4 linked regions of the Lonchura striata genome follow. The protein of the gene in region 3 interacts with the protein of the main gene of each other region in a pairwise test. Links are inferred from orthologs where the notes say so. Each region holds a gene or a part of one and is shown on either strand. Other genes may lie near its edges. The genes, in order: DISC1, YWHAQ, CDC5L and TRIO.

The links.
Region 1: the proteins of CDC5L (region 3) and DISC1 interact in a two-hybrid assay, tested with the Homo sapiens proteins (2 studies listed by BioGRID and IntAct). The link is inferred for Lonchura striata from reciprocal best matches to the Homo sapiens genes CDC5L and DISC1.
Region 2: the proteins of CDC5L (region 3) and YWHAQ interact in a two-hybrid assay, tested with the Homo sapiens proteins (2 studies listed by BioGRID and IntAct). The link is inferred for Lonchura striata from reciprocal best matches to the Homo sapiens genes CDC5L and YWHAQ.
Region 4: the proteins of CDC5L (region 3) and TRIO interact in a two-hybrid assay, tested with the Homo sapiens proteins (2 studies listed by BioGRID and IntAct). The link is inferred for Lonchura striata from reciprocal best matches to the Homo sapiens genes CDC5L and TRIO.

The regions. Positions count from the first base shown.
Region 1 is NC_134605.1:43,738,057-43,745,897, reverse strand, and holds the start of DISC1 (disrupted in schizophrenia 1 protein), read right to left. Parts: upstream 3,108-7,841; 5' UTR 3,081-3,107; coding exon 3,005-3,080; intron 2,172-3,004; exon of another isoform or gene 2,089-2,171; intron 1-2,088. UniProt on the Homo sapiens protein: Involved in the regulation of multiple aspects of embryonic and adult neurogenesis. Required for neural progenitor proliferation in the ventrical/subventrical zone during embryonic brain development and in the adult dentate gyrus of the hippocampus.
Region 2 is NC_134605.1:98,813,272-98,821,048, reverse strand, and holds the start of YWHAQ (14-3-3 protein theta), read left to right. Parts: upstream 1-4,661; 5' UTR 4,662-4,806; intron 4,807-5,825; 5' UTR 5,826-5,910; coding exon 5,911-6,204; intron 6,205-7,777. UniProt on the Homo sapiens protein: Adapter protein implicated in the regulation of a large spectrum of both general and specialized signaling pathways. Binds to a large number of partners, usually by recognition of a phosphoserine or phosphothreonine motif.
Region 3 is NC_134605.1:109,086,128-109,094,053, reverse strand, and holds the start of CDC5L (cell division cycle 5-like protein), read left to right. Parts: upstream 1-4,819; 5' UTR 4,820-5,112; coding exon 5,113-5,157; intron 5,158-7,926. Other genes in the region: uncharacterized protein LOC110468941, read left to right, coding at 1-590.
Region 4 is NC_134603.1:73,726,407-73,733,901, forward strand, and holds the start of TRIO (triple functional domain protein), read left to right. Parts: upstream 1-4,383; 5' UTR 4,384-4,791; coding exon 4,792-4,906; intron 4,907-7,495. UniProt on the Homo sapiens protein: Guanine nucleotide exchange factor (GEF) for RHOA and RAC1 GTPases. Involved in coordinating actin remodeling, which is necessary for cell migration and growth. Plays a key role in the regulation of neurite outgrowth and lamellipodia formation.

The sequences.
Region 1 (7,841 bases), about 65 Mb from region 3:
GTACATGATCTCACCCCTCTGCCTGCAGACTTCAGATTGCTCATTAAGCCACTTCACATTCTCAGCATCAATAAACAGGGAGGTAACTCCATGTCAATAGCTAATTCAATTTCCATACAGAAAACTCATGTTTTGCAAACAAAGTATATCCATAGTGGATCCTAGCTTTCTCAGCATCAGTAGCTTGCAGGCTTGATATTTCTCCCTGAAAGCATTTTGCAGGTAAGCTTTTAATGGAATCCACACCTGTATGGTAAAGGAGAAGAAAAAAATTACATGGTGTGTTAAATAGTTAACACTACACAGAATTAAGGAAACACCTTCAAGAAAGGATACTACCATGCTTAAAATAGGAACAGCAGCCTTTGTTCAGTGCCAGAGGGCCAAGTTTTTCCTCGTGTGACTGCTGGTTTACAAAGGGCACATTCATTCCGAATACATAAGGGTTTTGCAGCAGTTTTCCTCCAAGAATATTGAACAGTATTACAACATACCCTGGGTTCAATCCTAATCTAAGCGACACGGCATGAAAGGGCCGTTTTCCGGAAAGAGACACAAGATACTAAGGATGAACTTGGAAATCACTATGGCAACTCCGCAGGTCCCTTCCCCTTCACCTTGGGGGCCAATACTCCAAAGGAGGTAAGAAAACCACTTTCCGCAGGAATCATTAATACACAATATGGCCAAAAGCAGGAAAGGTCACAGCCTGTCTCCGCTCAGTTAGAAAGAGGGGTTCGCTCAAGGAAAGACAAGGTTAAAATGGGAAAAGAAAAAACCATAACTCCCGAGGAGCGCTCGTGAGGTGCCACACACTCGAGTAAATCGCGCTTGAAAGGTCAGCTGGTTCAGTAGCTGTCAAAGGCCCAAGCTACGGCGAGCAAAATAAGCCTAACCAAGTGTGCCTAATTTGTGAACAAAGTCAGAATTAACCTTTAGGGTTTTCGCTTTTGTCAGTACAAAACATTGTTTGCAGTGCTTTCTGTCCACCTGTTCATCACAATTAATTTATCCTGGTGCTAATAAATCCCCTTTTCTTACACAAACCCACTACAATTCCACCAGAAGCAGCTTAGGCCCAAAGTTTTGACTTCACTTTACTGAAGAGAACAAAGGATGATTTATCTTAATTTAAAGAGGGAGGAAGCCAGTGGCAATACAATACCTGCCTCTGACTGTTTTTTAGAGTGCTGCTGCACTATAACCTTCAATGTTGTGCATGAGAATGTGCCATTTTTGGTGCCCAATCTCAAAGAGAGCTATAAAAAAAATTGATAATTCTGATAGTATCAAATACTGGGAAGGAAAAAAAAGACATATTAGATATGGTCGTAACCTCAAGTATACTAAACATTGCACATAAACATTTGGTGGTTCTTGTACATTCATTTCCCATGATCCCAATATTTTAAGTAATCACAAATCTCTAACCTCAGCCATTTTTTTTTCTTTTAAAACAAATATTTCTGTTAAACACCCCTACTTTGCAGTTTCCTAAGGGCCTAGAAGCCCTATGAATAGGGCTTCAACTGGAAAACTGTCAATGCCTTCCCAGAGTGAACCACAACAATTTCACCTTCAGCAATGAGATGGGGAAACATACAACATCATTAAAGGGACTTTAGTATTTAAACACCAAGAAATTTTTTAATAAGTAGAACTCCTCCCGTTTTTAGGAGCTACTCTAAGGCCAATAGCAAATTAGCAAGTAAATGAACCAATACAAAAGGATAAAACAAAAGATAATGCATCCTAGGGGACTTCACTAATTTCTCTGAAAACCACCATTACCTCTAATTGGCAGCAGCACTTGCTGCTATACATTCTGCAACATATTTTATGAAAACCTTTATTATAAAACCTTCTCTGCAGAACTTTAAAATGCTAGCATAATTAATTCAAAAGCTTAGCAAGAAGTTACTCAAGCACGTGTACACAAAGATTAATGTGGATTACCAAAACAGGAATGAGCCATTTTGTATTAAACTGATGGCAAGGATGACTGTAGTGTTTGCAGAAAAGTCTTGGTGGACTCGTGGAGCTGGGAGAACCTCGTACCCCAAATAACCCAAAAGGCAGCAGACATACCTAGTGAGAAATACACCTTTCTTTCCCACTTGTCCTGAGAAAGGTGAAGTGTTTTTTTTTCCAGAATTTCCCAGGGGCTCCAGCCTTTTGCCAGCACCACTGTTGATAAGGAGGGCAGCCCTAGCTTTGACCAGCTGATTGCTGCTGCTCTAAGAAAAAAGGAGAGCAGTTCATCCACCTTATAGGTGATGGTCTTGTAAACTTCATTTCTTTATAAAAGCATATACACACAGAGTGTCCCCTGAGAAGGAAGTTTTCTTTTTCTTCCTTAAGCCAAGACTGTAGACATAACGTGGGTGACTTTTCGAGGAGCACCATTACTTCCCACTTTGTAGTTGGTTATTTAAAAAAATTAAACAAATAAACCATAGCAAATAAACCATCGATGTCTTCCTATCACTATAACTGCGGGCTGAAGTGAAATCAAAGCATCTTATTTTTTGAGTTAAAAAACGATAGCTACGTTATCTCAAAGTCACAAGACCCTTTATTTTACCCTCTCTTAGACTGCATTAACTGTGAAATAAAGCCAACACCACCAGGGGCTTAAAAGATTAAAAAAAAAAAAACAAAAAAAAAAACTAAAGAAATTCTAAAACTTTCAGACTGTGAAATGAAAGATCCGGGTTGTTGTTTTTGTTTTTTTACCGAGAAGGATTAAAAAAAAAAAAAAAAAAGTACATTTTCAGTACATTTTCCCCATACCCAACACGAGGGCGACTCCCCAGAGCTGCTGCTGCTGCTCCCAGCCCGGGGGCAGCATCCAGCCGAGCCGCGCGGTCCCTGCAGCGGGGAGCAGCGCTGCCGGCCCGGCCCCGGCAGGGGCACCCACGGCCCCGCGCGTCCGGGGCTCCTGCGGAGCTCGGCGGCCGGACCCCGCCGCCTCCCGCCTCCCGCGGGGCCCGGCCCCGCTCACCTGCGCCCGCCGCGTCCCCGCCGCCGCCGCGGCGCCGCCTGTCGGTACCGCCCGGCCCGGGCTGCGGCCGCCACATCCCGCCCGGCCCGCAGCCGGCGGAAAGCGGCCCCGGCCCGGCCACTCCCCGCCGGGGGCGGGCTCGAGGCAGCTCCGCCGCCCCGGGGAAGGAGAGGGCGGCGGGCGGGACCGGCTCCGGCTCCGGAGGGCGGCGCGGCGCGGTGCGGTGCGGCGCGGCTGGTCGCACGCACAGCCCCAGGGAGCCCGGTCCTCCAGGCTCCCGCCCGCGCAGCGGTCTCAGGCTGTGCAGGCTCTGTTCCCGCAGGGCAAAGATGGGCGGGAGAGGAAACGGGGAATCACAGAATCGGTCAGATTCTGACCACAGCGGTCCAGGCTCCCTGCTCAAGCAGGGTCATCGTAGAGAACATGGCACAGAATTGCGTCCAGATGGTTCTTGAGTATCCCAGTGAGGGAGACTTCACAACGTCTTCGCACAATCTGTTCCTGTGCCCGCAGAGTGAAGTAGTTCTTCCTGATACTCAAGTGGAATTTCCTGTGCTTTGGTTTCGGCCCATTGCTTCTTGTCCTATCACTCGGCACCACCGAGAAGAACCTGGCTCTGTCCTCTTGGCACCCTCCCTTCAGATACTTAAAAACATGGATGAATTGTCCCCTCTCTGTTATCTCTCTTGAGGCTGAACAGGTTCAGCTCCCTCAGCCTCTCTCAGCCTCTCTCTGGAGCATCATAGGGGAGATGCTCCAGTCCCTTACTCATCTCTGTATCCCTCCACTGATATGCTCCAGGAGCTTCATGTTTTTCTTGTACTGAGGAGCCCAGAACTGGACACAACACTCCAGATGCGCCTCCCCAGGGCTCATTAGAGGGGCAGGATACCCTCCCTTGACCTGCTGGCAATATTCTTCCTAATGCATCCCAGGATTCCATCAGTCTTCTTGTCCATGTGGGTGTGGGCATGTCTCACGAACAGCTTGTTGTCCACCAGGACCTTCAGGTCCTTCTCCATGAGCTCAGATGGAGTTTCTTTCCATCAGCCCCTCACCCATACCTTGGGTTATTCACTCCAAGTGAAAGACACAACCTATGCTACACATAAAAATATATGGCTTCCATCTCACAGGTCCCAGCATAACAACAAATATATGTACCAAATATACTCTATACCAAACATACTCTTGGAAAAGAATTTATTTTCAGGTTTAGGCATACTAGGCATTGCTTGGTCTCAGAGCCATCATGTGACTGTGAGCCCTACTCTGGCACTGCTTTGCATGTCAGATACTGAATTTAGCAAGGCATGTGTGCAGTTATTATTGCATTCATTGGCTTGAAGTAGCCATAAACATCTTGCAAGCAGGACTTAAAGGGATGCTAAAAAAGTTTGCAGATGATCCAAAATTGGGAGGAGCTGTCAACTCCCTTGAAGGCTGGAAAGCCCTGCAGAGAGACCGTGACAAATCAGAGGGCCGGGCAATCACCAACCATATGAAGTTCAACCAGGGAAAGTGCTGTACTCCACACCTGGGATGGAGCAACCCTGGATGTATGGACAGACTGGGGAATTAGGTGCTGGAAGGCAATGCCATGGAAAGGGACCTGGAGGTCCTGGTTGATGACAAGTTGAACATGAGCCAGCAGTCTTGTGTGAGTGCTGGGCACTACAATAAAACAATGATATAAAATGCTTAGAGAGTGTCCAGAGGAGAGCAACAACGATGATGAAGGTCCTTGAGGGGAAGACATATGAGGAGTGGCTGAGGACACTTTGTTCAGCCTGGAGAAAAGGAGGCTGAAGGGAGACCTCACTGCAGCTACAGCTCCCTTGTGAGGGGAAGAGGAGGAACAGGCACTGATCTCTTCTCTGTGGTGACAGTGACAGGACATGAGGGAATGGCCTGAAGTTGTGTCAGGGGAGGTTTAGGCTGAATATTAGGAAAAAATTCTTCACCAAGAGGGTCTTTGGGCACCGGAACAGACTCCCCAGGGAAGTGGTCACAGCATCAGCATGACAGAGTTCAAGAAGCATTTGGACAACACTCTCAGGCACATGATGTGATTCTTGGGACTGTCCTGTGCAGGGCCAGAAGCTGGACTTGATGACCCTTGTAGGTCCCTTCCAACTCAGAATATTGTGTGATATTGTGAATATTATGTATGTATTTTCACTGTTTTTGTAGGGCTCCAGATAATTTATGTCACAGAGCTTTTTCATTTTGTTGAGAGGTACCAACTTTTATATATATATATGTATGGGGTTTTGTTGGTACAGAGGCAATGACGAGAATCAGGGATGTTTTAGCTGAGCAGTGCTTACACTGCTTCTTGAACTGCCCTGCCAGTGAGCAGGCTGGGGTATACAAGAAGATGGGAAGGGACACAGCTGGGACACCCTGACAACAACCCAAGGGATATTCCAAACCATATGTCCACATGATGTCATGCCCAACAATAACAGTTGGGGGAAGGAGGAGGAAGAGAGTACATTCAAATTTATGGCATTTTTCTTCCAAATTCACTGTTATGCATGATGTAGCCTTGGTTTCCTGGGGATGACTGAATGCCTGCCTGCCCACCCATGGGAAGTGGTAAAGAATTCCTTGTTACATATCATTGTAATAACAGGCATTTCTGCTAAAATCCCCTTTCCTGTTTTGTAATTTAGGTAAGTTTAGTCCTCCACCATTTCCAGTGTATCTTCTCCTCCCTAGTTAACACATATATCATCTTTTGCTATCCCTGGTATTTCTCTACTGACAGTTTTATTTCTATTGTTATTCTTAATTATGAGCTTTATACAAGCTTATGAGTACCCACTGACTACAGCTTTTATTAACTTTGCTAAAGTGGTACCTGCTTCACTCACAGATCATCATATCCACCATATTAATCATGTACATGAAATCAATGTTTTCCAGACGGCCTCCATCCATCCTAGCCTTCAAGAATGCTTCTTCCTTCTCAGATGCAGGAAATGCAATTGTAAGTTAACTACACAAGGAAGTTTTCACAACATTCAGAAAAGCTGCTAAAAAAACCGGGTTTATATAACAACTGTCATAATACTGATTTTCTCTAGTTTGAGTCCATTAACTAAGAAATACAGGACATGCTAAGAGAGTTTTGACCTCTTGCTCCAGTCTGTGCCCTTCCTGACTTGTGAGAGAAGACAACAAGCAGCTGTGCCTTACATGCCAAAAATAGCCACCCATCCTTCTTCATCCTTCAGCCTTGCTGCAGTGCATCTGATTCAGGTGATGTCAGTGCTGGTTCCCATCATTCAGAAAGAAACTGGTTGTAAAAGGCAGCTCTGTGGGTGCAGACAAAGGGCCCATCTAGCACAGCCTTGCTCCCAGCTCAAAGCCAGGGCAGCTCTCTCAGCAAGAGCAGGAACAAGGAAGAGCAGGAACAAGACAGCACCCACAGCACTTCCCCTTTGGACTGTGCCACCCTCCTCTGATCAATGTGTGCTCAGGGGGTTCCTCAGCTCAGTGAGGTTTGTTGAGTCAGTAGCCTGCTGTGGTTCCCAGGCTCTCCAAGGGTTTGCCCAGCTCCACCTTGAGCCTGCTTCAGCTTTTGACCCACAGAGCATCCACGAGTCAGGGGCTGCCCAAGGCACCAGCTCTTACTCTGAGCCTGGCTATGGCTCCCTGCCGTTGTGAGCTCCTGGATTTTTGTGCTTGAAAAAATATTTTTTCCCAAAGCATCTGTGCCTCCGATGATTTCCTGTGTTAACTCATAATGTAGTCCATTTTCCAAACTGTGCAGTGCTAAACTAGTCAGACTGATCTAGTACACAGTCCCTCTATAATTTTTTTCTGTTTCTGCTTTCTGGGGTGAAGGGACTAAGTAAGGTTTGCTATGGATTTCTGCAGTGGCATCTTCATGTTTCCAGTTCTGTTCTGTGTTCCTTCACAAATGGTCTGTAACATTTGATTGAGTGCAGCCACACACTTAACTGATGTTTTCTGATATGTAATTAGTGCCACAGTTTCCTTCTCAGTGGCGGTGGTAATTTCAGAGCTTTTCATCTTATATGAGAGGCTAGGAATTTTTCTTCCTGGTAGGTGCTGATTCAATTCACACAGTGAATTTCATCTGTGGTTTGATTGCCCACAAGGCAACCTCACGAGGTCCAAGTTCTTTGCATCCAGCTCTTGTTCATGCTGCTTCAAGTAACTCAGCATCATCAGCAGACTTGTTTCAGATGCTTATATGGTGAACAGGAGGGGGTCAAGAGACACTAGTCATCACAAAGCTACCAAAAGGTACATAGTCTCAAAACAAATATTTAAAAGAAACAGGGCATGAGATGTACTCAGGAAAAAAAAACCCTGCTAGTGAGTTATTTGCATTTGTTCTGAATCTACTGGGAGACTTAAAGTTTATCCCAAACCTCACCACTTCTGCTTCAGGTGAGCTTGCCTTATCTCGTGTGTACTCACATCAGCGTGTATATGTAACAAAAAAGTCCCACCACAATAGAATACTCAGCAGACTGTAATTCATTACCTCAGACGACAAGCAGGAGTAGGTGTGAATATGTGTGAGTGTGTACACAGAACATGACATTCTGTTCCTTTATCCAGAAAGGAACTGCTTTTCGACAACCATGATCATTCAATTGCCACATCAGTGGAAAGGAGTTGCAGGGGGATGGAGGATAGTTTTACTGAGAACTTTAAGTATAACTGGAGAAAAAGGTGCAGGTACCCTTCTGAAGCAAATGCTAGTAGGGGAGAATAGTATCCTTGGGTTTTAATGCTGTTTTAATTGTACCCTAACCTAATTATAACCACAACCCAAAGTCTGATCCAAATGTCA
Region 2 (7,777 bases), about 10 Mb from region 3:
TTACTGAAATGGTAGGAGGGAAGAGAGTGTCAGACAAAAGCTGAGACACTCCTATCAACCATGATCAGTAGCTGCCTCAGCACATCAGACTACAGCAACATTTACCTTGCAGCAGGTATCAATATTAATCAATACCATCCTTTACAAGCAATGACCAAACTGCTCCCAGCATGGAGATACACTTATCTTGAAGCCACTTAAACCAGAAAAATGGCACTCAGCAGCAAAACTGAGGTTCAGTACCACCCTCCCACACTGACAGTCATCATCCTAACCCAAGTACTCCTTGATTCCTCTCCTCCCAGCAGAAGAAAACTGTTTGCATAAAACAGCACCCAGCAATAGCTCCACATTCATCAACACCTTCAGAGGCTTGTTCTCTGGAGCAATTAGTTTACACCAGCAATGAGCAAGCCATGCAAGTATTTTCAAAAATTTAAGAAGTCCTGTGGCCTCCTCACAGCACAGAACAGACAGAATATGGAATGAGGCTAGTTTTTAAAGAGCTTGATCCCACTGACTCACATTTATTTGTCACTTAACTGAACTCTGATGATGCTTTAGCCTCTTACATGAATGGCTTTCTATTTTTAATGTAAGAGCACTCATGCTACGCTCTAGCACTTTTTAGATATGAGAAAAAAATACAAGGATAACAAGAGATCTTATCCTTTCATTCCTAAGTCCCCCAACCAAGTGCAAGATAAACAAATTTAAGTAAATTTAAGTTTTATCTAGAAGAGTCATGGCCACTGGTTCAGTTCCTCTCCAAAGGCTTAAATACACATCAGTCTATATGAACACACTTAAAATGTTTTTCATGTTTTAGCTAGAATGGTTTAGCTATTTCTCACAGAGAAAATCAGAGAGAATTCCAGTTTTGTCCAGGATGACACACTTTATTACAATTTGCTTATCAAAAAATTCCAACACCTGCAACCAAGTGGCACCTTTAAATTCTTCAAGAAGTTGGGCAAATGGAAGTTAAATCTTATGCTGGTTTCATGGAAAACTAACCAAACATGGAAAACATAAAGAAAAAACTCAATTTTAATACCCTCAGATGACATATTAAAATTTACCTGCAGAATTTCCTTAAAACTCCAGCTCTCATAAAGGACTACTAAATGTCTAGGCCCCCTAAGCAAGTCTTCTTCTGTCCCCCAAAGTTTTAGTAAAAGTTGGAACAAAGGAAGAGCAGAGGGTACAGATACAGAAAGAATGACAGCAGGAGAACAAGTGTACAGACAGGAGTTGAGCAGAAGACAGGAATCAGAAGGGGATGAGATGGGATGTAAATTAGGGGGCTGATAATAAGGAGAAGATTACAGGAAGAGTATGGGAGCAAAAGAGACCTTAACCACCAGAACACAGGGCCTTAATAAACATAAAATATGTTCTCTTGCCATTAAGTGAACAGACACGAGACTAATTGTACAGGATCTCCATCCCACTCAAGACAGGACACAAAATGAGTAAGTTTTTCTACTGTTACTCATGACAGGACTGTTTTGCATAGTTCAGGACCATGCTGCGTATCCAAAAGGCTCACTCACACTGTTGTTCAGTGGTATTCTAGGTAAATCCCGTGACAGAAGTCTGCTTTTGGGGGTTCTTTGCTTGTTTAGCTTCATTCACAGTGCTGTATGTTTGCTTTGTGAGATGCCACTTTGAGCTGTTGTGTACCTGTTGTACAGACAGCAGGAAGGAAGTTCCTGACTGTACCATCTCAACCTCCTTTGCTGTAGAGATGGAAAGCATTTGATTGGGGTTGTTTCTGCTGAGAAAAAGCAAGAAAAGTCTTATAGCAAATAACAGAGGCTCTAGAAAACTGTCTTCTAACTCTGTTGTAAAGTTCACATGTAAGTCTGAGGAATTTGCATTATATATATTCTTTATTTTTCTCCCACACCCCAGTTGAGTAATTTGTGGTGTGAGCTGCTAAGATGCTGAATGTGAGTAGGTGCATCTGAAGTCAGTGGGAGGTGGACTTTCTCTACATGCAAAGTAGCATAAAGCATCTACCACCCTGGAAATGAAAGTCTTTGATACGATATTTACCACCTGGGAAATTAAGCTTAGATTTCTTCATATAGGTAACCAGAAGTGTTCATATTTTTAATTTCCTGCACCCAAGACAGAATAAGGCCAGCCATTTCATAGTGGTGACAAGGGTAAAGTCCTTAATGGTCAGTAAGATTATAGCACTCCTGAAATGCTCTACAGGAAATTAGGTTTTTTAATTCAATAAAGGATAATGTTATGCAGTAAACTGTACATTAAAGTACACATGGACTAAGCATGTATAAGAATATGTAATAAGCAATAAAAGAAACACAAATTTGGAAAGCTTCTGGAGCTTACTCTCCTGCTATCCCAGGCAACTGCTTATGTGCAATCACATAAGCACTTTTATAAACTCATCAGACTCTGCTTTCTAAGCGAATGGGCTTCCTGCCCTCAGCACAGGGAAACTGTCTCATGGCCTCATTGCTCTGAAAATTCCAAATCTTCTAAGTCACAGTCTAAATTCATTACTGACCATTTTACACACATTTGTCTTCAATTTAAAAAACAATTCTACATCCATGCCATTTACTCTTTTGAGAAAATATAAAATCTCCTCTTCATTTTTCTAATCTAAACACAACATATCCTTCAAGTCCCTTCTCTGAAAAGCTCCCCAAAGGACAACATTCCTAATCAGCAATAGGATTCTTCTGGGGAAATAAGCTTATGGCTGTATGATTAAAATCTACATTGCTGGGCAATCTTATGGCATGTTAGCCCACAAGACCCAAGCCTGAAAAGCAAGGAGCACAGAGGGGGTTTGAAGCCAGACACACACAGGCCACACAGCTGCTATGCACACATACATCAGACTCTGCATCACACATGGAATTCAGTCTGCATCCATCACACTGCTCTGTGCAAACTGCTCTGCTTAGTACTTCCCAACTCTTGACTTAGTTCTGTATTTCTTAATGCACCCTCTCAATAGGTGGAAGAGAGACAGGAACTAAATGTTATGAGGGTAATTCTCAATATCTTCCCCTTTTCTTTGAGGTGAAGCAGTGAAGGAAGTAGCCTCAATCAGGTCAGTGTCTTTCCTCAAATAAAACACACTCACCTGTGCCTTAAAAGTGGAATGGTTAGTTGATAAAGACATGGTGTTAATAAAAAAGGTTTTGTTACACTATTGGTCAGCTTTGGTCTTTACTTCATGTAAATGAAGATAATTATAAGGGACTAATGTAATTGCAAACATATCCTACTAACAAGAATAAATGGGCATCCTAAAACTATAGCAAGTTGCCAAGAGGTAACTTCCGAGGGAGATCCAGAGTGGTTTCTCAGTTTCATTAAATTTGAAAATATTTTTATCATTAGTTCTATTTTTTTTTAATAAATCAATGTTTCCCAAACTCAAATGACAAAGAAAAGTGTCTTGTTCATAGTATAGCTCAAATTTCCATACACATAGTCCTAGTACTAGTCCAAACACATACCAAAAGCTTTATAAGTTGAGACAGTAACATCCTGGGATTGATTCAGAGAATTCCTCATCCCATCTGGATGTTGAAATTCCTCAGTATGACTATATTTGGTGATGCTGAAAAGAAAGGTGAGAAATGTCATCTCTTGACACACAGACCTGGTACTGCAGACATTGGAGGACCTGACCTCGCCTGAGCCCTGATTCACCAGATGCATTTGACCTGTTTTGTACGGCAATACCAACAACACAAACCCACCGTGTCCTTAGCACATCCTCTGAGGCTCAGTCAGCGTGAGTGCACACAAGTCATGCATCTACTCAGCCAACGTTCTGGACCTACATGTGGCCGTAGGTGCCTTACCTTTATCCAGACACGGGTGGGTAACATGCCACTACTGTATGTCATAGCACGGGCTGACCTCTAGAGAATTAAGGTGAAATCAAGAGGATGAAAACAAGCAAATATACTGAGAGCTTGTGGGAAATGCTATCTTCAGCCACGTGGGGCTGCGGGAACACGGACTCGGGAACACGAAGCCCCGCAGTGCCCGTCCTGGGCCCCGCCGGCCCGCGGCGCCCGGCGGCGGCGGCAGCGCCCGGACTCGGCCCGGCCCGCTCCGGACGGACGGACCGCACGGCCGCTCCCGGCCCTGCCGCGCCCGAGCCGCCGCGGGGCCGGCCGGGCAGGGCCGGGCTCGCCGCCCGCTCCTGCGGGAGCTGCCGCCGGCGCGGCGGGGAGCGGCGGCCCGAGGGCGCGGCCGCCCGCGGGCGGAACAACAGCCGCCGTGGTGCGGCCGCGGGCACCGCCTCGCCCCCCGCTCCCGCCCCGCCGCCGGCAGGGGCACCGCCCCGGCCGGGGCCCTCCCGCCGCCTCCCCCATCCCCGCTCCCTTCCCCTTCCCGGTCCCGGGTGCCGAGCGGGGGGAGCGGCGGCGGGGGGGGGCGAAGGGGGGTGTAGCGGCGTCACCATGGCGACAGTGACGTCACCCCACCCTGGATCTCATTGGAGGAAACCCCGTGGCCCCAGCCGCAGCCCACGGGCCCAGCCGAGCTCGCGCCCTGCCCGCGCTCGCCCCCGCGGCGGCGCGCTCCTCTCTGATTGGCCGGCGGCGCGCGGGGGGGCGGGGCCGGGCGCGCAGGCCGGGCCGCGATTGGCCGCGTGGGCGCGGGCCGCGCAGCGGGTTTGTGCGCGCGCCAACGCCCTTCAGCGCTGGCTCGGCCGAGACGGGAGCGGCTCTTTCTCTCCGCCACAGCCCCGAGCGCGGCACCGACCGGGTGCGGCCCGGCCCCACAGCCCGGCGGACCCAGGTGAGCGCGGGGTCGCGGCCGGCGTCGGGATGGGCCCCGCTCCGCTGCTTCCTCCCGCCGCGTCCTCCATTTTGTGATCGCGGCGTGGAGAGCTCGGCGGCCCCGGGGAGCGGGAGGTGCATCCAGCGCCGCCATTTCGCACCCGCCGCCGCTTCCTCTTCCCGCCCCGTCGCCACGGGGACTCCGCCGGCCGCCCCCGCGCCCCCCGCCGGCGCAGGAGATGCGGCTGCTGAGCCCGAGACCGCACCCGCCGCCGTGTACCGGGAGCCGCCGCGCTCCCCGCCGGCAGCGCGGGGCCCCCGCCGCGCCGGGGTCCGGATCGGCGGCCGCCGAGGCCGACAGGGAGGCCCGGGTCCACCGCGCCCCGCCGCGGGAAGGAGAAGCGCCCAGGGCCCCCTCGCCGGCCTCGCGGCCCCGGCCCCGCTCGCCCCCAGGGAGGCGGGTCCTGGAGGGGTTTAACCCCTGCTGTGTTCTCCGGCGCCGAGCTCGTCTTGCTGCTTTTATTATGTATTTGTTCCCGCCAGTCCTGGCATTCATGCCCGCCTGCCTCCGGTGCTCGCCCGCAGGACTGGTAGCACACGGAGGCAGGGATTTGGGCGAGGGCCCTAGGCGGGGTGGTAACCAGGAATCATTCCACGAGTTACGGGGCATATTAATATGCTCACGTAGGGCACGAAGGAAAAGCGGGATGATGACTTTTTTCTGATGGAAAAACAGCTGTTGCCACTGCTTGGGCGGCTGGCTGCCGTCCCTTGTATAGCACCGACCGAGTGCGACTTCTCCGCCTGGGTTTCTAGGTCGTGGTTTCCCGAGGGGTGGACCCTTGGGGCGCGTCCCCGTAGCCTTGCATGGAAAGGCAGGATGTTGCAGTCCGTCTGTCCAGGAGGAGCACCTGGAGATGGGGAAGGGACGGCAAGGCTCAAAGTAATTCTCGTTTTTGCTGGGTTGCAGTGGGTGCTGCAGGATCGTGTTTGGTGGTGTTTATCCTGGCATCATGGTTGCTGTCTTCTTTCTGTCAGGTTTTGAGGTGCATTCTCGTCCTGATAGTGTGACATCTCCAGCTTCTTCTGCTACTGCACTGCTCTTGTCCCACTGCCAGCCACCATGGATAAGACCGAGTTGATCCAGAAAGCCAAGCTGGCTGAGCAAGCCGAGCGCTACGATGACATGGCCACCTGCATGAAGGCAGTAACGGAGCAAGGTGCCGAGCTGTCCAACGAGGAGCGCAACCTGCTCTCCGTGGCCTACAAGAACGTGGTGGGGGGGCGGCGCTCGGCCTGGAGGGTCATCTCCAGCATCGAGCAGAAGACAGACACCAGTGACAAGAAGATGCAGCTTATCAAGGACTATCGGGAGAAGGTGGAATCTGAGCTCAGGTCCATCTGCACCACGGTGCTGGTAAGTCAGGACTTTGTTTTTTCTTATATTTTGTTTAAGGTAAAAAAATACAGTGTTTAAGTGTGCTGCTGTACTGGAGGAAGCATTGGGAACTTGCTTGGGGCATATCATGCAGTGTTGTGCTGGGGTAGGTGAGGTCAGTACCGTAACTTCTGCAACCCTTACGTGGGTCACTGCAATGAGGAGGATCAGCTGCACTATGCTGTTGACGCTATATTTGTAGAGGTATTTGAGATAGTTAATTTTGAGTGTCTATGAGGTACGTTTTTGGGTGGAGAGATCCATATGGAGTATTTCACCAGGTAATTGCAGAGATACAGCCTCTGTGCTGTGGTTAGTAAACATATTCATAAGATAAACTGAAAATGTGGAAAGCCCTTTATTTAGATCAGCTAATAACTTGCTACAAACATTGAAGCCATGTATGCATTTTGTTTACTTCCTGATGAAGAGAAATACTCTAAAGGGGTCTTCAAGAGACATTTTGATGAATGCTTTAACATAAATTTAACTTTTCAAACTTAGACATCTATATTGAAGGGGAGAAAGTGACATGTAGAAATTGTCTTTGTTAGATGCAAGCTGACTTCTCAGGGTAGCTTTGAGATGGTTTTGCAGTAATTACGGAGCAATGTAAAACTAAGGTGTAAAGACCAGAATGACATCCTAAGCATGCATCAAACACAGAAGTACATTTCTGTGGAAGCAGCAGAATTCCAGGTGCTGTTGGTAGGAAAACTGTAGTGCACTGCAGTGGGAGCTCATGAGATGTGTGTCTGCAGTGTGGAGGCTGCTGGACCCAGTTTTACATGACCAGGGAATGATATCTGAAAAAAACTGCACGTGCATAATGCAATAGTAATTCTGTGGGCAGATCATCTTCAGTGGTTGATTTGCTCCTCTTAGTTACCTTTTTCTGGTGTCTAGTATTGCTAATGTGAGACCAGGAGGAAGCAAGTCTATAAGGAAATAAACAATTTTGAGGTAAACTTATTCTAGATTTGTTTAGGAGATGTGAATTTAAAGGTGACTGGTTTGGAAGTAACTGATTTTCTTCTTGATTAAGTGTTTTGGCTCACATACAAGGGAATGCTTCTTTGGACTGTGCTGAAAATACCTATATGCTTCCTTGTATGCTGCCATCTAGGTTTGTTCTTTTTTAATCAAAGTGAGTTGTCTTTCTTTGAAAATAATTTTCATATTTATTAGCTTTATGAATCAGTTAATTCCTTAACACATTTGAGCCCATGCCTTCCGCAAGAACAAAATTGTTTCAAAAGGTGTATTGAAATTGTAAGACTTTCACCTTTGTGAAAGTAATACTTCTGTAGGATTCCTACTTCCTCTGACAAGAGTTTCACTGGACGCCTGTGTTGAAGTGCCAGCATTTGTGTCACTCTTCTTTCTCTACTCAGTGCCCCACTTCAGAACTAACTTCTTGGGACCTCCATATAAAGCTCTCACTTCAGATTTCTTAATCTCCCTTTGTCCTTTTACCAAATTGAGTGCCTTGGAGAAGGTGATGTATAAAATCTCATACTGGTTGTACCATCTTGACAAGGAACTTGTGTTT
Region 3 (7,926 bases):
TAAGCAACCTGGAGCTCCACATCAGAACTCACACAGGTGAGAAGCCCTACAGCTGTCCTGTTTGTCAGAAGAAGTTCCGTACCTCCAGTCACCTCAAAAGGCACAGACTCACACATTTGAACTTGGGGCATTTCAAGTGCATGAGCTGTGACTACTCAACCAACAAATGGCTGTCCTTGAAGCAGCACCTGGCTTCGCACACCGGGGAGGGAACCTCCTCTCCTGGCTGCCTCTACGAGCACAAGGAGCTGCCTGTCAAGACATACAGGTGTGAGGAGTGTGGCTATTGCACAGCCCACAATGGGAACCTGAAGCTCCACCTGAGGATCCACACGGGGGAGAAGCCGTTCCAGTGTGGGCAGTGCTCCCTGGCTTTCCGCACCTCCAGCCACCTCAGGCGCCACTTCCTGACCCACCTCAGGCTGCACTGCAGGAGATGCAGGTATTCCACGGTGGATAAACACGCTTTCCAAAGGCACATAAAAACACACAAAAAGAAGTACAGGTGTGCAGAGTGTAATGTGGTGCTGCCCACCAAAAAACTGCTGGAGAAGCATAAGCAGCAGCACAAGGTTGGGATGTCAGGTTGAGAATTGGAAGTTGATGCTTGGTTTTGGCCAGGTTTGCATGGCCTGAATTTCTTCATGGTTTTATGTTCCTTTGCTGTGCCCAGAACAGTGGTTGGTAATGGATGCATCCAGCATTTTGGTCAAGAGAGTGAAACTTGGGGTACTGGTTTGCTGCAGGTGTTTGTGGGAACATCAATTCTAGCACAGGCTGTGCTGGAGATCTTGGAGACACTTTTTCATCCCTGAGTAACTGCTTCAGTAGAGGTCAGTTATTTTGGCCAGTGTTCATTTTTGTTTAAGGAGTTATTCTGCACCACTTATTTTCTTGTAAAAATTTAGTAAGAAAAACTCTTTACTAACTGAAAGAATGTGTAACGGGAGGGAAGGAAAAACATATTTTGTAGTAATAACTTTTCATGTGAAAACTATTGGTGTATCTGGAGGCTAAATGCTACCTCCCATCTGCTGAAAGTTGCCTCCTTTACTCCCAGGTGATTTTGCAATACTTGTAAGAGGAAAAAAATAGTATCTCTCCAAATTACAGAAACAAAATATGCATGTCCTCACTGGGTAATTGTGACATTAAAATGTTTTACATGTATCTGTATGTATAAGATGCTTATTAAGCTGTTGTCTGTAATTTTGATAATTTTTTGAGTAATCTGGCAGAAATGGTAATGTCCAGAAACATCTATTTTATGATACTGGGAATCTTTAAATCTTCAATTTTATTTGAATGTCCAATGTTAATCTAGTATGAAATGCCTTACCTTTTCTCAGGTTGGTAGTTACTGTGTTGGTTGTTATTGTTAAATTATATGCTTTTCAAATAACTTCAGTTAGCAGTTGCTGTTTAGTTTCATTAAAAACCTTAGCAGTATCTGAAACTAAAATTATTTTAAGAACTTTACTCTTAGTCTAAAATACCGTGTATAAGAGCTAGTACACTACACAGCAGGTGGTCCAGTGTATGGTGAACCCAGATGGATGCTGCTTCCAATTTATATTCAAATCTAGACAAATCTTTGTTTGTTTTGGAGTTACCCAGTGCTAGGAACTCTTGAGTGTGGTTAAGTGCTTTTATTAACAGTGTGTTATCCCCTTGTGTGAGGAAATAAAACAGCAAAGGCCTGGTGCAAACTGTCCCAATGCTACAGCTCAGTCCATGGAGCAGCAGAACAAACCTGTGGTTTAATTTAGAGAGAATGTAAGTATGGGATTCAGTGCCTTTTTTTTTTTTTTCTGCTTCTGGATGTGTGTCTTTCTGTAGAAATACAGATAATATCTTGTAGAGGCTTTCTGGTATCATAGGAGACAGGTTGGGAAGGGCTGTCCAGAGATGCAGTGGAGTTCCCTTCTTGTCAGATACTGAAAAGCCATCTGGATGTAATCCTGGACAGCCAGCTCTGGGTGTCCGGGATTACAGAATTCTGTAGTAGAATGTGTGTATATTTCCATGCATGTCTATACATACATTGATAAACTTAGGAATTGGCATAAAAACTCAAGCTTCACAACTTGTAAAGGTTGAAAATCTGGTGGTGTTATTGCATTATGGGGATCATTCCCCTTCAAAAGACACGTGTGCCCTTGAGAATTCTCAATCCCTTTTTATTCTTCTTTACTAGTATACATATGCATAGTTTCACCATAGGTTTATGTATATTCATTCTACTGATTTTGCATTACTCTTGCAGCTAGTTACCCTTGCAGCTTTTTTTTTAATCAGAAAGTACAGAAAGAACTCTTGGGTGAGTCTGCCTTGTCTGTTTCAAAGTTCGAGGAGCCTCTCTTATCTCTTCAGTTGGAAATTCGCATTCTTTCTCCTCAGCTGGGGCAGTTTTTACTAGTGCTGCAGAGCTACCAGACTAAACAGCATATTTTACTTATGCTAGCAAGCTACTAATAATTTCAAGTGGCACATTTTACCCGAATCCAAATGGATTTCTAGCATGTTAAATTTTTTCTCTATTTCACTTATATATTCTGAATTGCAAATATCTGTCAAGCATACTAAATATTGTAAATGAGAACAGCTACAGCATTCTTTCCAAATACATGAATAACCCTTGTAGCATAATATCTGTGAATCTTGCCTGTGTGTTAGGCTTCTCCTGTAGATTAATTTCCTGAATAGGGCATCTTCTAGGGTCTTGTCTTCCAGAACCCGTCCAGCCATTCTGCAATTTGGAAGGCAATTTTCCAATAATGAAACTCATGGACAGATTTATTTAAGGCCATATCAGCAAAGATGTTCAAGTGATCCAGTTCTTTGCAGCTTCAGTAAAGTCAGACAAGTATCTGTGCTTGAACCATGGTGGTTACAGATAAGTGATTTAGACCTTGGAGCCACCTAATCCAGTTGTGAGAAAGAATGTTATCCTGTATTAAGAAAGAAAAGCATTTCTAGGAAATCTTAATGATTACTCAAACTTGGAGATGTTTTTACATGTGTTACATTACAATTCTGATCATTTATTTGAAAAGAGCAGTACAAAGAGAAAACAAAAATACTGAAGGAATTGTAAGCCTCTATATCAGATGAGACTAGAAGGGCTAAATACGATTGAACACTGTTGAAAAGCATAGTGTACAATGATGATCAAAAGAGCCTGGTTTAGGTGGATAACTGCAGTAAATTTTTGAAAGAGTTTGTAAATCTGAGTTACTTCGTTTTAAGTAATAACAAGAAGGTATTTTTAGTTAAGAGATTGATCTTATAAAAGTTAATTATTCCCAGTCACTGCCTCTAATAAAAATAAGCACTTCAATGACTCCTGATGTTGCTTTCTGTTCCTTATGTGCTGCATTGGATTTTTGGGGTTTCAAAGGTATTCTCAGTCTGCTAAGTCAATGAAATTTACAGGTTGAGGCATATTCAGTTGCAAAGAAGACATGGGCTGTTGTTGGTAGTTTTTTTTGGTTTGGGTTTTTTTTTTTTTTTTTTTTGGTAGCTAGAAGTGTAGTATTTTTTATTCCTGCAGTTTAAACAAAAATCAAAGCCTTTCCTAAATCACAAGTTTTCTATTTAAACCAAAAAAGTTTCATAATTTGCTCCATTAATATATCCTGAATTTGGACAAAACAGGGAAATATAACAAGACAAATTGAGTAAAAGGCTGTCATTTTACCTGCTGTGCATCTGCTAATTAAATGAATACAAGTTAAACTGGAGGTGATGTAAATGAACAATAGTGAGTCAGATCTGTATGGTGTGGTGGTGCATCCTCCTGTTTGGGCCACACTGTGGTCTCAGAAATGCTCGTTAGGGCTTGACCTTGACAAGCTGAGCCGAGCTCCTCTTGAGCTTATCCAAAACACTGTCTGCTCCCAGGAACTTGTGTCAGCTGAAGTGCTCCGTGGGTTTTAAGAGCCTTTGGGAACTTATTTTTCTTATCCAAATAACCACCCAGGTGGAACAACGTTTTTGGTTTTGAACTTTCAGAGAAAGTTACCAATCTGAGTTGCAGCCAGGGTGGAAAATTGCTATGAGCAAAGTCAAGTCTGTTGTGACTCTCTAAGCAGTGGTATTTGAGAGCCTCTGAGCCCTCCAGACTGCAGCAGGCTGGGAGCAGCACCTCCCTCTGAGTGTGGCTTTCTCTGAGCCACACAGCTCCAGGCTGGAGATGCCTGGAGGGCCACAGCTGAGGGACAGTGACAGATCCTGAGCCGAGATCCCTACTCCTTGAGACTCAACCCTTCACCTGCTGAGAGTGACATGAGTACCTCACTATGAAAATTCCCCAAATTCAGGTATGTACCTTGTATACATTTCCTTTAGTGTGTATGTGAGTGTTAACATGCAAATGCACCATCAATGTTGCTCTCTTGTAGAATCATAGAATAGTTTTGCATCGCCACCTTAAAGATTATCTCATTCTACCCCTTGCCATGGGCATGGACAACTTCCACGATCCCAGGCTGCTCCAAGCCCTGTCCAACCTGGCCTTGAACACCACCAGGGATGGGGCAGCCACAGCTTCTCTGGGCAGCCTTTGCCAAGGCCTCACCACCCTCACAACCAAGAAGTTATTAATTTCAGGAAAAAGCATGGGTCTATTTCCTGAAATTAATAAAATACCTTGGGAACGCTGGGGAAATGTGATTTCCTTCCACTGTCCCTTTCCTCCCTCACCTGCGTCCCTTGACGAGGCAATTTGAAGAGTTTAATGACGGCCGGGCTCCTCCGCCGTGTGCTCCTCCGGCCGGCAGGGGGCGCTAGCGCGAAGGGCCGCCTCGGGCCACGCGGGGGCTGCGCATGCGCGGCGCGGCCGGACCCGCTTCCCTGGAGGAGTAGCGGCCTCACTTCCATTGCAAAATCCGCCAGTCCCGCTTCCCTGGGAAAGCCGCCCGACCCGCTCCCCGCTTTTCTGACAGAGCAGCTTTTTTGACAGCTGGCCTCGCTTCCCTCGCCCTCGGCACCCGCCGCCGCTGAGGGCGACCGTGCGCCGTCTCGGCCGGCCCCGCTGACGCCAGTGGCGCTTCCGCTCCCTCTCCATTCTCTCGCTCCAGGGGTCCGTCCCCGCCTCCATTCGCCGCCAAGATGCCGCGGATTATGATTAAAGGCGGCGTGTGGCGGAACACCGAGGTGAGACTCGGCGGGGTTCGAGCCCTCGTCCCCCTCAGGGCCGGGCAGGTGGGGGGGGGACCCTCGCTGGTGCGCAGGCGCGGGAGGGGCGGGTGTCGTGGTGCGCCTGCGCGGGGGCTCAGTGTTGGGGGTGCCGCGGTGGGGTCGGGGCTGTGCAGCGCTGTGCCCGGACATCAGCGGGTCTGGGCTCGGCAGGGGCCAGCGCAGGGAAGGGAACGGAGCACAGGGCTCACGAGGAACAGCTGAGGGAGCTGGACGGACTCAGCCTGCAGAAAAGGAGGCTCAGAGATGGATCTTCTGCCTCTCCACCACTCCCCGACAGGAGGGCGCAGCGGGATGGGGGTCAGGCTCTGCTCCCAGGCAACAGGACAAGAGGACATGGCCTCAAAGTGCACCAGGAGAGGTTTAGGTTGGACGTTAGGAAGAATTCTTCACAGGAAAGGGTGATTGAGTATTGGAATGAGCTGCCCAGGGAGCTGATGGAGTCACTGTCTCTGAAGGTTAAGTTCTTCCAGTTTAAGGAAAGACTGGATGTGGCACTGAGTGCTGTGGTCTCGTTGACATGGTGGTGATAAGATGTTGATTAAGCTCAGTGATCTGAGAGGCCTTTTCCAACCTAACCGATTCTGTGATCCCTGGCTCTCTGTTGGGCTGCATTCCCCAGTAACCTGTGCCTTGTTCCTGCTGCTTCAGTGGGCAAAGGTCACGAGTTCACATTGGTGCTGTTTTTCCCTCGGGCTGTTCACCAGATTGGGAAGCTCAGCAATGTGTGTGTTGTGTCCTTATGCCCCAGAGAACTGTTCCCACTGCTACTGGAGAGGAAGCAGGGGCTGTGCAGTGCTTGGAGATGTCCCGCTCGCAGGCTAGAGTGTGACTTGTGCTGCATAGGCACGTTCCTTGTGCTCTGTGGGAATGAAGCAGCAGGAATCTCTTGCCCTTAAAGATATTTAAAAATACGAAAATGGCAAAGGCAGAGTCATACAAGTTTTAGGATTGGAAAAAGCTTAAGAACACCAAGTGGCCACCATCAACCCAGCACCACCACCATGTACACCATTTAACCTGTCCTTAAATGCTACATCTACATGGGTTTTTAATCAGTTCCAGGAATGGTGACTCCAGTATTGCCCTGAGCAGCCTGTCACCATTTCCATGGGAAGAAAAAAAACATCCTAATAACTAATCTAAACCCCTGGTGCAGCTTCAGTCTGTTTCTTGTCAATGTGTGTGGGCTCTTCATCTGCAGCCCCAGGAATCCTGTGCACAGAAATTACTGTTCCAAAAAAGAACAATCCCCTCCAATTTTGCTGTCACAAGCTTTCAGAACCACAAGTGGTCATGAAAAAGAAATCAATAACATGGGAAATCAAGGATGTCAGTTTTATTAGATGCATGTTTAAAGCAAAAGGATGTACCTAGCACTGTAAAATACAGAATTCTCACTGCATAGTGTGAGCACCAGGCATGTACGTGGTTCCAGGAAGCAGTGAGGAAAAAGTAATAGAAGATAAAATGTGCTGTATGTGCTTTTAAACACCTGTGCTATATCAGTGATGTGCCAGGAAGCAGCTAAATTTGGGATCAGCAGAGGACAGGAAAATTCATATCTTCACCCCATTCTTCCATACTTGATACATTTTGGTGAGGAGTGGTGCATTAAATGGAATCACAGAATATCCTGGGTGGGAAGGGACCCACGAGGACCATCAAGTCTGGCTCCTGCACACAACATCCCCAGCAATCCCACCCTGTGCCTGAGAGCATTGTCCAAATGCTGCTTGAACTCTGCCAGGCTTAAGGCTGTGGCTACTGCCCTGAGGAGCTGTTTCAGTGGCCAAATAGATCCTCAGTTCACCAGGCTTTGTGTACCAGAGATAAAAGAGGTGTTGGATTTTTTTTTTAACATTTTGATTATACATACAGCATTAAAGACAGAGAAAGGGAAATCAGGTGATACCAAATCATTCATAAAATGACCCATTACATGCAAAAAAAGCCTGTTAATGTCACCAGTACAGCTCCTGTGTGCCATAGAGCACCAAGTAAGTTTAAAAAAAAAACACACAGGAGAGGATTTATTATTTATGTCAGAACAGTAGTCACATGAATTGTTGCCTGCAGCAGCTCAAGCCAGATCAAGAGCTGATCATAAGCGCACAGTTAAAGCTGTTGTTCTCTGGGTGGTGTCAGTGGAGATAGTGTGAGACTCACTGAACATTCACTGGGTACAGGAGAGGGACATCTGTGGTTGACAGGGCTGTAAGAACAGCTTTCATGTATTTAAAATACCACTTCCTCTGAATAAACCAGAAATAATGAACCCATCTATCAAGGAAGGGAGAGAAGGATTGATGGATGGATGGACCGAGAATTGGCACTTCTGGCTTGTGATCAAACTCAGTGCACATTTTGTTGTATATGAACAACCTGGCTCCCAAGCCGATCTATTCCATTTTTATTCCAATTGCATTAAAATATGAAAAATAGATAATTTTATGGTATTGTTTAAACAAGGCAGCCAGAGATGCCTGCCAATTCTACTTTTTTTTTCGTATTGTGATGTCTTACCAAACACTTCCTTACCTCTGTTGCTGTCCTTCAGTGAAGACATACAGAGCCTTTAAACACCAGTGCATTAGAGAGCATTGAAAATAATAATTTGGGAAATTCTGTTAGGTATATGAAGTTTGGAACAATAATTTATGTGTCTATTTTATTTAATTTTACAGATTTCATTGACCTTTGAAATACAAATCCTTATTTTTCTTG
Region 4 (7,495 bases), on a different chromosome or scaffold from region 3:
TGGAGTATCAATGACTTCCATGGCCAGCCTGTTCCAGTGTCTCACCATCCTTACAGTAAAGAATTCCTTCCTCATATCTAATCTAAATCTATTCTTGTTGAAGTTTGAAACCACTCCCCTTTGTCCTGTCACTCTGCTCCTGTAAAAAGTGTCTCTCCATCTTTCTTATGGGCTTCTTTCAGGTGTTGGAAGGCCCCATTTAGGTTATGTGAAGCCTTTTCTTTCCCAGGCTGAACAAACACAACTCTCTCAGCCTTTTCTCATAGGAGAGGTGCTCCACCCCTCTAATAATCATTGTATCCCTCCTCTATACTCACTCTGACAGGCCATGTCCTTCTTATGCTGGGACGCCAGATCTGGATACAGCACTCCAGGTGGGTCTCAGCAGAGCAGAACAGAGCACAGGGGCAGAATCCCCTCCCTGGCCCTGCTGCCCATGCTGCTTTGCATGCAGCCCAGGACACAGTTGAATTTCTGGGCTGTGAGAGCACATTGATGGGTCATGTCCAGCCTCTCCAGCACTCCCAGGTCCTTCTGGGCAGGGTTGCTCTGGATCTGTTCATCCCCAGCCTGGGTTGATACTGAACAGCAGCACCTTGTACTTTGTCTTGCTAAACTTAATGAGATTACCATGGCTCACTTCTCAAACTTGTACATGCCAGGTTGTACCAGGGAGAGTATGGACAAAATATTTTAAATTAGACTGACAATACTTTACATAGGTGATAGGTATATCATCTGCTAAAAAAATATATTTTTGGAGAAAAATAGAAAAAATTACGAATAAACAAAGTTCCAAAAGCTGCCAGGACTCATACAATGAAATGAGAACTTAATTTTATAGGATAAGGAAGTGGAACACAAACTTTATACTGTTCAAGACAACCTTTTAAAAAGACTTAGATGCTTCTGTGGAAAAGAGGGAAATAATAACAATAACGGTTGGAAAATGCCTCAGTGCCTGTCTACAGATGAAGAGATACACCATGTGCTCTGAGAACAATTTGAAATTGATGAATGTTGCTATAATGCAAACACCATTTAGATCAGAAACCAGACAGCAACTCCAAGGTGGTGCACATTAATAACTCGATTGCTTTCCTTAACTGCTGCAAATTTGAAATAAGTCTTATCATCCTAAAAGCACAGCAGCACCGGATATGGCCTTCTCTATTACTTGTTGTGTTTATAACTTGTTTTATAGGTTTGAATCCCCCAAAACCCTGCTGCAGAAAAGTAAAGGTTGCAAGAAACAGTTCTTAGAGGCTGGCGGGGCTGAAGTCCATATGCATTTTCCCTTTGAGTGTTTTCCATGTAGAAGGCTTGTCCCCACACTACCCTCTATGTTCTGTTTTTGTTTACAAAATGAATAGTGAAGCTTGTAAAACAGCTACAAGAAGATAACTCCACTGTAAAAATCTAGTTGTTGGCTGGGTTTTGTAGGCGTGCATTTTTGATTTTTTTTTTCACAGTTGAAATATCTTTTTCTAAGCAGGAAGACAATTACGATTGACAGTCCCAGGTCAATACCATCTCCTGTCTCCTAGCTTGTCCAAACTAGTGAGTTTCTAGTTTACTTCTCTGAAGCTTGTAAATATAAGTGATTTTTAAATCAAGCTTGTCCTGCTTTCATTAATGTCTTATAGAAATAGGGGAATCTCTGTTCTTTGTTTTCTTGATCAAATGGGCAGCAAATACTGCAGGAAAAGAACTCAAGAAATATCAAGTCTGCAAATTCTTTTAGGGATGAAACATGAAGTGACATGTGACACTTCTCAGCCTGGAAACACAAGGCTAGGCTCTGGGCAAGCTCTTCCCGTCACAAGACACCTCTTTGACGGGAATAAAGTTTTTGTGTTTGGCATTCTGATTTCGGAGTGACCATTCAAGCACAGTTAGACACAACACAAGTAAAAATAAAGGGCATTAAAATGAAACAACACTTTTCTTTGGGCATTTATTGTATTGGGGTATAAATTTTTTTGAATATGCTTACATAAAATTAAATGCTTTATATACACACATAAAATAGAGAAATTAAGCACAATACTTGAACACCATTAATATTTAAAACTCCTAGTATACAATCTAAAACTCTAACTTGAATCTGTGCCTTAACACTATTGGTATTTCACAGGTCACATTACCGCTAAAGTATGTTTTACACCATGAATATTTTTTCCATTCCTGCATTTACCATTGCAATTGGTGAAAAAACACTTGCAGGCTGACAAAAACTGAGATAAGCAATGCAGGAATTGAGGAGAATATGGCTATTTCCTAATGACAGGCTTTCAAATTCACACAAATTTCCAATGTGGGACATTCTCCATATAGACAATTCATATCTAGTTTGTTTTTGTTTGAAGCCTAAAATGGCGAAGAAGAACCAAACTAAGAAACTTAATTTCCTGATGTCAAAATATTAAATCTGGTATTTGATACTTAAGGTGCATAACTGTTAATTAAATCCTTGTTTTATTAGAGTGTTAAGTAACTTTGTCATTTTCCTATATTTGTCTCTTTCCTTTAACTTACCCTTCAATAAATATTGCATCCTGAACATTAGCATGTATGTATTACTATAATCTTATGAATCATGCAAAGGATATGAGCTATGAGCATTTTTTGGCTCTTGAAGGATTTTTCTGTGAGGGCCACCTTCGTTGTTGATTACAACTTCTTCTCAATCACTTTCACAGTGATGAAAGGCTCCTGTAGTGGGGAACATGGCTCAGGGCACCCATGTACTAAGAAAAAAGCAAACCCAGCATCTCTTGCAATTCAGCAGATGGAGGGGACAAAGGAAGGGAAAAACTTGAGTCACACATCCTTCAGAAGTGTTCAAATTAACCTTGCCTTTTTAGTGCACACTTAGAATTTGTACAGTGTGCTAGAAGAGCAACTAACTGGAAATGGAAAGTACACAACCCGTCCAGACTGAGGTTCCTTCCAAGGGAAGGACATGAAGCTGTGCCAGGGGAGGTTTAGGTTGGGCATTCGTAAATGATTTTTCTCCCAGAGGCTGTTTGGGCACTGGAACAGGCTCCCCAGGGAGGTGTTCATAACCCACAGCCTGCTGGAGTTGAAGAAGTGTTTGGACAATGTTCTCAGGCACATGTGGAGTTCTCGGGGGGTGATCCTGTGCAGGATCATAGGATGATCCTTGCAACACACTTCCAACTCAGGATATTCTATGAACCACATTTCTCTTGAACTTACCTTCCTTTTAATACTTACCAAAGGTTCGCAGTTTAATTCCTGAAGCAGTACATCTGCATTTCAAGTGTGCTATCGATTTACCATTTGCCATAAGCATTTGAGACGCGTAACTCGAATTCATCAATCTGTGCAACTGCTATGATTCCTGCTCTGACACCCTCTCCTCAACCTTATCTGGACACGAACTTATACTTCCTGAACATGAAAAGCAGGATGGTGGTGAGGCACATCATAACCTCCCTATCATGAGCTGTTTGCTTATTTGCTATTAATTGAACCGGTCCACATCATAAAATCTTTTGACGTGTCCCCGTGGTAACAGAAGTAAAAAATATCGACAATACAGACAGCAATGTAACGGAAACCTTTTAAAGGCACCTTTTTAAAGAAATCTACGCATCCCTTTTTCTCTGTGTTTTCCAGAGGTAAGCCAGGCTCCTTCCGACCGCGGGCAGGGGGTCTCTCCCCGAGGACGGCTCCTCGGAGGCCCCGGGAGCCCAGGGAGGGCAGGCAGCAGCATGGGACACGCGCCGCTTCCCACGCTCCCGCCGCTCGCCCGTGGCCCCGGGCCAGACGGAATGCATTTGCTTAGGTTCCTTTTGGTTAATTTTTTTTTTTTTTTTTTTTTTTGGACTTCCACTCCGACCTTCGCGTACCGGCGAGCTGGCAGTAGGGCGAAGGTTAGCCGGAAGCACCTAAAAAAAAACCCCAACCAAACAAAAAGAGACCCCAAACCCGAAGGACAAACGCAGAAACCCGAGCGGGCCGCGGCGCCGCCGGGCAGCCCCGGGCGCTGCGGCCCAGCCGCGGGGCGCGGGCCCGGCGGGAGCGTGACGGACTGCGCCGCCCGGCCCCGCCCCATCCCGACCGGTGCCGGACGCAGCCGGAGACTCCCGAGCTCCCCCCGCTCCCTGCTCCACCGCCCTTGTTCCTCGGGCGGGGACTCGCTTCCTTTCCCGACTCCCCCTTCCCACCCTCTTCCTCCACCCAGTCAAAATGGAGGACGGCGGTTGCTGCGGTCTCTGGCTTCGCGGTGGCTAGGGCAGGTGCTGCTCCTCTGGATCACTACTCGCTCCTTTAAAAAAAAAAAAAAAAAAAAAAGAAAAGAAAAGAGAAAAGGGAAAAAAAAAAAAAGGTTGGAAACGTTCCTTTTTTTTTTTTTTTTCTCCGCCCACTGGCTGCTCTGTGCGCGGACCGCTGGCCCTTCCCATGCCGTCGTCGTCGTCGTCGCTCTCCTCCTCCTTCTTCTCCTCCTCCTCCTCCTCCTCCTCCCGCGATTGTCTGCGCTCCGGCTGCCGCCCGGACTCCCTGCATGCACACGCCGCCTCCTAGGTGGCTGCGGGGGGTGGGCGCTCCCGGAGCTGCCATTCCGCACATACCTTCATATGTCCCTGCGCTCGCTGCGGCCGCCCGCCGCCGCCCCGCATTGCTCGCCCGATCCGGCTGCCGCCCTGACGGCCGCTCCCGCCCGGAGGTGAAGCCGGGATCTGCGGAGGGGGCGGCGGGGTCGGTGGCGGGTCTCGCCCGGTAAAACCACCGCCGCCGGCACACGCAGCAGCAGCAGCAGCCATGAGCAGTGCCGCTACCGCCACCTCCGCCGCCAGCACGGCCGGCAGCGGCGCGGGGGAAGGGGCCGAGGAGGCGGCCAAGGACTCAGCGGACATCGCGGCGTTCTTCCGATCCGGTGAGTGCGGTCCTGTCCTGGGGGAACAGGGAAGTAGGGCCAGCGGCTGGAAGTAGAGGCGAAAGGTGGCCCTGGGGAGGCGACGTCTTTCCCCCGGAGCCGGGAAAGGAGGACAGGGCAGCCGGCTTTGTCAGGTGGCCTCGGGGAAGGCTCGTCTGCTTCTCGCCGCCGGGGCCGCCTCGGCACTGCCCGTCTGTTCCTTGGGGAGGACGCAGGGAAGAGAGCCGAGCACCCCCCGTCCCGTGCCGAGGACAGTGGGGCTTAGGTACAGCAACTTGCGGGCGGGATGCCACCCTCGCCGGCGGAACCGGGGCGTGAAAACGGAGGCGGCGGCGGTGCGGCCCGGCCGGGAGGGTGCGGGGCTGCTGCCGCCCCGGGGCGGTGTCGCCGGTGACAGGTGCGATTCTGCCTCCCGTGCCGGCCCGGTAGCGGGCGCGTCACCGGGGCCGGGCGGCACCACCCAGCGCCAGGGACCCGAGTCCCCCGAAAATGTCCCGCTGGGGGTTGCGGGGCGGGAGGCGGGTAGAGGAGCTGCTCCGATCCGGGAAGTCCATGGTGTCGGAGGGGCGGAAAGGGTGCGCGGGGCCGCAGGGCTGCGGGGAGCCGGTTGTGCCAGCCGGACCCCCCGGGGAGGCCGGCGAGCAAGCAAGGATGACACCGCTATAAAAGGCAGCGCTCCTCCGGTGGTGTGCTGCTGGGTGGCGGCGCAGGGCAGGGATGGGAGAAGCGGCACGGAAAGTGGATGTTCTAAGGAGAACCAAAAGAGGCAGACAAAAAGCGAAGCTCGTGTTAAGGGGTGTCGCTCCCTCGGCTGAGGCGGGGAGGCAGCGGCTCTCGGGCGCTGTCGGGCTGGGAAGCCGGGCTCGGCGCGGAGGATCGGGAGGGGAAGGGTGGGAGCCTGTTGACAGGCTGCCGGGATGAAAAAAAATGGAGGCTGCCTTTTCCCTCGGTGTTTACTCTCGGCACGCAACCGGGCGGGAAGGACGGCTGCGCCCGCCGCCGAGACCCTGTCCCCCGGGGCATAGCGGCGGGGAAGGTAGCACTGCCCGGGCCGCACGGACCGCCGGTCGGCGGGGACGGAGCCCTGCCGGCAGCCTGGGCGGCGGCGGCTACGGAGCCTCCCCCCGTGCCTGCTGCTCCCCCCGAGCGGCGGCGGCTCCTCCCCTCCGTCCGCTCCTCCGGCGGCTCCGCGCCCCCAGGGCAGCCCCCGGCCATCGCTCCGGGCGGAGCAGCCGGGCTGGGCTGGGCATTTGCTCTTTTTGGGTGCCTAAAAAGGAGCGGCGAGCAAGGGAAATGCGGACTCACCGCGGGAAAGATGAGGGGGTTGGCCGATTTCGTGTATAAAAAATAATTATGGCAGTAGTAATAATAGTAGGAAAATCTGTGTTCACTGGGTTTTTAAGGAAAGTCCGCGAGGGAAGTGGGGAGCGGCGTAATCAGTGCTACTTGCGTTCGGTGTGTTTGATTTCATGAGGGTGAAGGAGGAAGTGTGATTTCTAGCAGGCATCCTTGAAGCAGGGCTGGAAGCTGCATTTATGTGGATAGAGGGTCCAACAGGGGGCTGTGTCCCCTCTGGAGGGCTTGATGCTCCCGAGGCAACCTGTTTAACACGACAAGCCATGGAGTGTGAAACTCCTTGTCAGGATGCTGGCCTTGGTGGGTTTTATAATGGAAAAAGGACTGAGCTTTATCGTTCCCAGGAAGAAATCCCGATGAAAGCAAAATGACAAATTAAAACAGTAGGCTTACACACAGTAGTCTGCCTAGTGTAGTTACAAATGGGTGCTTGTGTAGTAATCTTGCAGTTTTGGAAGACCCTGCCAGCTGTATTAATAATCAACTTCCGCATTTATGTGTGGGTTGAGGGATGCTACAGCTAGTAAGCTCACAAGTGGTGCAGTGATCACTTCTGATGCTGATAACTTCTGATAACAGAGAAGTTGCATTGAGCTCAGTCTTGAAACATCTGAAAATCTTAAAGTAGAAGGACATGCTTATCAAAAAACTCTTAGATCATATTTGACAACTGGCATTCTCATTTCCATATTTATGTGTGAAGGTTATCTTGTCCAGCCTGGGCTCTAACATACACTGGAAAATGTTCTGGCATCTCCTATGTGTGTTTGGCATTGAGAAGAGCTCTTTGAATTCTGCCTCTGTGCATGATCCACTCTTCTATAAGGAGAGGGTCTATTAAGAGATCTCTGGTGCTTCCCTTTGTTTGAACAACAGGCACTTTTTTTTTTTTTTTCCAGTGGAACACAAAGGGCGCAGAGATCAATGAGCAAGGAAAAAACTTTAGCGCATTTAGGAGCAGACAAAATATTTTTCTCTTTACAGAATTTACAATGACAAATGTTTCTTTTTTCCTGTCACTTGCAGAGAATATTAGCAAAGCTCTAGCTGTTATTTAAAAGAGAAAATGAGTAAAAATATTGCAGTGTTTTCCAGGAGGGAAAAGAAAAAAAAAAAAACAACAACAAAAAGCCTGCCTAAACAATCAGTTCTAATCTTGGGTTGGTTAAATTGGTCAGTAGAGCTGCCAAGTGGGGTTATTGGCTTTCCTTCTGTCCTTTTGTAAGACTAAGC